Linked DNA regions of Drosophila melanogaster. The protein of the gene in region 2 interacts with the protein of the main gene of each other region in a pairwise test. Each region holds a gene or a part of one and is shown on either strand. Other genes may lie near its edges. The genes, in order: CG9192 and ksh.

Region 1 (3,927 bases), on a different chromosome or scaffold from region 2:
TGGACGCTTTGGAAGATTCCTGATTGTGTGGCGATCGAACCGATCGCACACTGGCAGCTCTTTTCGCAGGAGGTTGCATGTCACCGAAGTCCTCAATGGATCCAGCATCCAAGTGGGATCGAGAGTAGCGCTCCCTTTCTACCGTGTGTCTGTCCCTCATCCGATCCCGTTGTCTTTGCCGGCTACTGTAGCGGTTGGATCTGTTCAGGGTCTGAGTTTCGTACCCATCTCCGTAAATGGTGTGACGCTGGCGAGGATCGTGATGCAAATGCTGCTGCTGCTGCTGACGACGATTGCGTCCGCCTCCACTGCTCCGATGTCCGAACTCGCGGTCATCGTAGCCCCGGCCCATGGTGCGCAGGTCGGGATCTGAATAGGCATGACCCATGGAAGGACCCAGACCCGAGTCATTCCCAGACCGTTGGGTCATCTTCATGGAGCGCCGGAACGAGGGCGGCGGCTGGGATCGGGCATGGCGCTGAGAGCGCATCGATCTCTGCCGGGATCGGGCATTCCTCGGACGTTTGGCCGTGCGGGTGCACACATAGCAGCATATTCTCCAGTACAGAAACCTATATTGGAATATATGTATGAAAACATACTCATTTAGTTCTCAGCTCATCGATGTCAACTCACCGAAATGATGTGGCCATGACATCGCCAATGTTGGACAAGCAGATGAGCATCAGCGGAATGCCCACAATGGCGTAGAAAATCGTTGTCACCTTGCCCCAATCCGTACGCGGCGATATGTGACCATAGCCTGTCCAGAGAATGACAAGGAACACATAATTACTCTTTCGCAGATAGGTAAGATTGATTTTGAGTCACCTTTCACCTTCAACCTCGTGACCGCAAAGTTCTTGAAATACTAATGAATCTAAGACCCGCTAAGGCCCAATCCCCAATCCATATGTACTTCTTTTTGTTCATGCCAAGCCCATTATCGCTTCGAAATAGCAAACATGGCATTTCAAGTCTGCCGCTTTTGGCCTTTACGGAAGTGTGCAAATTCGTAGATAGCATTCTGTGCCCCTCTTCGCGGGGTTCTATCTGATGGGCGTCGGTCACTAAACCCATTTGTGTGCTAGCCGTAAATCCATATCGGGGAAAAGTGCAGACGAAAAGCGTAAAACTAAGCTCCCATCATCAACAGCCAGAGCTAATAAACTGATTTATACCAAATACTTCCACTCGAAAGCCGAAAAGTTGAATGCTCTAAGTGGGTTAAAGTGAAAAAGGTTTCTGTATACTTTTAAAGTAGGAGAGTTTATAGAGTTCTTGGGGTTTGCTTAAGGCCTTCGATTGAAAACCTTCCATGCACCACTTCCCCTTTTATGAGTAATCACTAATCACCAACACCCCCTGTGTGTTAGGGTATACTAATAATGAGAAATTCCCATCGTTAAAATCTAAAAATCTGAAATGCCAGAAAAGATAATCACGATCGGTCAGTGGCGTTTGACCTTGCTGTTGTTTTGACCACAAACAATTGGATGGCAGCAATCCACTTTTGGTTTCATTTGACACGCTCCACACACCCTCGCTCCCTTTGAAAGCCATCACCACCCGAATGAACCCATTTTTAGAGGTCAACCACGTGCTGGCTGCTCACCTGACTGTGTCCGAGCTGAATCTTTGACTTGTGACTCCCGCCCTGCAAAGGAAGCAAGCATATGTTTTCCAACTCATGGAAATTCCCAGGAATAAGCTTTTAGGTCGATCGGTGGTGGTCAATTACCGTGATTTATGCGATTTCAACGTGATCGCTGTGTGGACAAAACCAATTGTCCGACTCATCCGCTTGCCTCATTGGTTCCTGGGCGGATTGCGGTCTGGTCGCGCTTCAGGTGAATCAACGTGGGCCAAGACTTGGGCCACAGATCTCTGAAGATTTCTGTCTGGCACGATCGTTGATTCATTGGTCGGGCAGCCGCCGAATGCGAATACCTGCGGCTGCCCTCGTCGCTTGACTGAGTTTGTGCGTCGTCATCGCCGCTGATGTCTCTGGCGGTTGTATTTGTTTTTTGGTTCTCGGGTGCGGTTATATAAGTAGTGTGTGCCGGTCGCATTTTCGAACTATTCTGTTGCGGGAGCTTGCCGCGATCAAGCGCAAAAATCGGGTCAGTGTGTAATCGAACAAAGCGTGCCAATCATGCCAAGCTATTGCCTCATCATCGTCCTATGCCTTCTTGGATCAGTGGCGGCTAAGTCTTCGGATGGAGATCGAGATCAGTGGGTCTGGAGGTCCTACAATCGCAGGGAGCGCTCTTTTCGGGACATCAATCGCAGTTCCCCCATAAGGAACTCGTACGACGAAAAGCTGAGGCGGGAGCCCACGACTCGAAGACCTTTTCCGGGCGAACCGGAGAATGATGAGATAGAGGACTATGCCGATGTGGAGCCCACCAGGTCATCGGACACTCCCAACGTAGGCACCCGTCAGTTTAATCCATACGGTGGTCAGACCAATGCCGGACAGTTCGGAGGACTTGGAGGCTATAACGGAAACCCCGGAGTGCTAGTCGGACCTGGCGGACCCACCGGAATCATAGGGAGACCGCAGCTATACCCCACTCCCTATCAGCCAGGCTATGGTGGATTCTCTGGAGCTCAAAATGGCATTAGTGGATATCCAGGCGGATACGGAGGAGTAGGACAGGGACTTCCCGGAGCTGGATTCCCCGGAGCCAGCGTGGGTGGTGGGTTTAACAACTTCCCCAGTAATGGACTTGGCCTCAACCAATTTCCTGGCAATGGGCAATACCCTTACGGCTCCTATCCAGGTGGCGACTTCGGTGGAAGCCAATTCGCGGGCGCAGGTGCCCAGTTCCCAGGATTGGGACAGTACCCAGCAAACCAACAGTTCGGTGGACCTCAGTACACCGAGGGCTATGGTCTGGCAGGAGGACTGGGCTTAGGTCAACTTGGAGTAGGCAACGGTGGACTCGGATACGGTGGAAGTTTTCCACCTCTAGGAGGAGGCTTCGGCTATGACGAGAAATCGCCAGCTGTGGCCGATGGTAAGAGTGCTAAGAGTGTGGCAGCGTCACCCAGAAAAGTGAATGATAAGCTCAGTAAGAAGGTCTAGAGCTTCGTGTTTTAGAAGTGGAAGGTGTTATGTTAAAGATATGGAACTGAAGCTATTACTTTCCCACTCAACCCTCCTTTTTCCCTTAGGCTGAGTTGGAAGTAGTCACCTTAGTGTAGGCATAGTTTACGTATAGACTAAGCAAATAAATTCCCATGTTTACTCACACATGACTTTGAAGAACTCAATCCATAAGCTTAAAAAAAACATACTCACCTATGGTCGTTATCACAATAATCGAGTAGAACAGGGATCCGGCAAAGGTCCACTGGGACTTGCGCAGATCCTCGTCGCCATCCCAGCCGTCGGCCTTGATGGCCGTAAGGATTTGCTTTTCAAAATTGGCCAGGTGCTTGCTGACATTGGCCATCCAATCGCTTTCCCTTAGGACCACTGCGTCGTCGGACAGTAGCCAGATATTCTCCGTGAGATTAACGCGAAGATTCTGTATGTCTCGCTTCACCTGCATGGGGATTTTGGATTTTTAGCATTTGAGACCTTCCAGCAAAATCACCCACTCACCTCTAGTTCGTGGGGTCGTTCGAGATGCTGGAAGAGGTAGGCACCGCCCACGCAATAGGAAACCACGAGAAGCACGAGCAGCACATGGGACACAATGCAGGTGAGCACCTTCCACGAGAAGCAGATGGCAGCTACACAGCGTCCGCGTTGCGGCTTCGCTGGCTCCAACATGTGCGCCGGCAGAGATTGGGCCCGCCTACCCGACATGGTCACCCTCCTCTGGCCTCCTCCTTCCTTTGGCTAATTTGCCGCTCGGTTGGCTGTGAATTATGAAAGGCAAAATAAACTAAATAAAGGATGGGACGAAAATGTTT
Region 2 (2,964 bases):
ACCGCTGCCTGTGCTGCGTTTGCTCGTTGTGCCGCCATTGGTGCTCCTGAAACCGCTCCGCTGGCTTATCGCGTCGTCCCTTGTGATCCTGTTGCCGCTCCGTTTGCGTCCTTTGCTGGGATTGCTCAACATACCGTCCGCGGTGCTCCTGTCGGTCGACTTGCTTATGATGCCGCCCGCCGTGCTCCTGTTCCCACTGCTTCTCCAGCGCCTGCATCTGCAGGCTGACTAGCTGGTGCAGCTCCTCGTTGAGCGTGGGCTTGCTCTTGCGGTGGCGCCGATGATTCTTTTGCTGACGCCGGGTTTCGCCCACCACCTCGGCGAAGGCGGTGTTGTCCTGGAACTGCGGGTGCTTCTTGGTGTGCTTTAGAACGTGCTCGTAGATGAGCAGCCGCTGACTCGCGTCGAGTCCTGCCTGCAGATCATCAAAGGAGGCAGCAGGAAGGAGGCGTCGTGCTCTTTCGGTGCCCACAATGCCCTGAATAGTCGAGTCATCGAGCTGGATGCTAAAGTCGGGATTGTTGCTGCATGACGCCGGCAATGGCAATGGCTCTAACACCTCCGATTTAGTTGCGCCGTTTTTGTCCTGTGGTCTGTGGCTACCCGCCCCCATCACCCCGCGCTCGCTCCAACCGAAGCGCTGCAGGATGACGTGGAGACGCCTCCTGCTGGCTGTCACAAAAAGACGCAGCTGTTCTCGCTTCTCGTCCACATCTTCGCCAGACATTTTTAGCCAGCGCGAAACAGAACAGAACAGAACAGCAAGTGTTGGGAAAGCCCGAAATGTGCGGCCAGTGCTGCAGAACGCAGCGTGTATTTACAGTCCTAGAAAGTTTGGAATATCTAATCTATGGTGCCATTCGGCTCCTGGAGGGGATGCGGGATGCAGGAGCTCAGCTCCAAAAGAGAACGGTGAAGGCCATGATCAGGCAGGCGGCTCCTACCCACGGCGACTTGCGCTCCCCAATCCTTGCCAGCTTCCAGAAGGTGCCCATGAATCTGCAAACAGACAGCAGACGAGTGTTGAGTGTGGTAACAATCAGTGGACTGGTCAGGGCGGGAACGGGCACCTACCCGGTCTTGTTGCGGTCTATCAAGCTGGGGAAGAGCGAGCGCAGGTAGGCACAGGTGCAGATCAGCAGCAGGATGACCGACAGCAGGCTGTGGAAGTTGAACAGGGCGCTCTGTGGAGGGAAACGGTGCTAAGTGTACGACGGAGGAGTATCGGTTAGGTGAGCGTTTCAAACCATGATTTAGCAAATCGAAATCCGTGCTTGGCGATAGAATAACAACAAGCGGTAAACTAGTGACGTGCCAGCCGCTCGGCGCAGGCGAACTGGTTCCAAAACTGGAATCTCACGTTTCGACTGATTCGATAGGTGGTTAATCAACTGTTAGAATGATAAGGAATGTTACAATGTTTAGGAGTTAATATAAGAATATATTTATATTAAATACATATTTTGGCGACCTACTTCCATTATCTGGGATGGACATTGGATAAATATTTTACAATAGAAAGTAACAAGCTCTTAGCCAAGTTCCCACAGGGAGCATAAAAACGCCATAGGAAGTATTGAAAAGTGCAAGAGTTTACAAAAGACATCGTATACAAAAAAACGTAAGCTTAATTTCGATAGTATCGGAACTTGTATTGCAATCCAACCGTGGGTCAAGTAAATGAAATAAGATAAGACTTTGTTTCAATTAACGTTGGCAGTGGAGCTTCCCCCAATTGAAATATGTGCCAATGGAATCGGGCTATTAGGTCAAGTGAATTCAATCGACTGGCGCGGAACAGCAATCGATGGGTCCACACTTATCGCACATAGTATCGCATAAACATCGACGCAGTGGGCCACCTCTAGCAATTTGTCTGCAACTTCTAATTCGCTGCGGGTATTTTTTTTGTGTTTGTTGTTACATATAATCCGATCAATTTCGATCGCCCGCTTGGCAAATCAGTGTCTTGCTGTTCCGATTGGTGAGCTTTGGCCAATTCTCGGCGAGCGTCAGTAAATCGTTCGATTTGGCTTTAAGTCCGCCCGTGCTTTTGCGTTTTCCTTGGCTCTTTTCTTCATTTTTGTGGCCCGTTTTCGTTTTCCACTTGGTATCGCGAGGGGATGAAGGAGGGGAGCAGGAGCGGAGAATCCCGACCGAGTGCATCCCCAATGTGTGTGCGTGTACGTCTGTGAATACGATGGTGCTGCCAATGCAATTGTAACTGAGCGCGCTCATAAAAATCAAAAGTATATTTAGATATACATGTACATATATATAATAATCGGATACGTTTTCTCATTGCCCCCCCTGTCGGTGTGTGTGCGTGTGTATTTAAATCAGTAATACAGTGTGTGTGTGACGAGCGCGCTGGGTTTTGTTGTTAAGTGCGAGTGAGTAAGAGAGAGGGAACACGAGCGAGACAGCAGCCGGAGCAACAGAGAGGCAAACAGGAACTGCAACAAGAAAAACAATAACATTCTGTGGCAGCAGCAGCAGCGATGACTTCCAGTCGCTGCACTGGCAAAGCGGTAAGTTCCCGACTGCAATATTAAGCTAAGCTATGATCCGCGAATCGGTTCCTTGCATGTGTATTTATGTAAGTACACACACACACCCGCACGCGCGCCAAACACACGCACTTGCGTGTATCGTTGACGTCGGCGATTACAGCACTGTTAGCTGCTAACAGCACAGTGACGGCCACTCGCATAGATCCGCGCCAAAGTTATCGGAGTGCCCCACTCGAGGGGCGGTAAATCGTGAGTGAAAAGTGTAAAATACAAACAGTATATGCTCTTTTAACCCCACCCCCAATTTTAAAGTGCTACGGTTTAAAGTGCTGCGAACCGGAGGTGAGTTGCATTATTATATCCTCTTCCAGTGCTTTCATGACACATTCACCCATGGACCTACACCCGCGAACACCAAAACACTACGCACATGCGCAGAGCGGCCACCGAC

What was found.
Region 1: the proteins of ksh (region 2) and CG9192 interact in a two-hybrid assay, tested with the Drosophila melanogaster proteins (one large-scale study listed by BioGRID).

What each region holds. Positions count from the first base shown.
Region 1 is NT_037436.4:1,236,464-1,240,390, reverse strand, and holds CG9192 (uncharacterized protein), read left to right. Parts: upstream 1-2,071; 5' UTR 2,072-2,155; coding exon 2,156-3,091; 3' UTR 3,092-3,258; downstream 3,259-3,927. Other genes in the region: galene, read right to left, coding at 1-572, 637-763, 3,308-3,554, 3,614-3,820.
Region 2 is NC_004354.4:19,493,653-19,496,616, forward strand, and holds ksh (kish), read right to left. Parts: upstream 1,341-2,964; 5' UTR 1,251-1,340; coding exon 1,248-1,250; intron 1,185-1,247; coding exon 1,075-1,184; intron 1,000-1,074; coding exon 894-999; 3' UTR 768-893; downstream 1-767. Other genes in the region: CG12204 (uncharacterized protein), read right to left, coding at 1-727.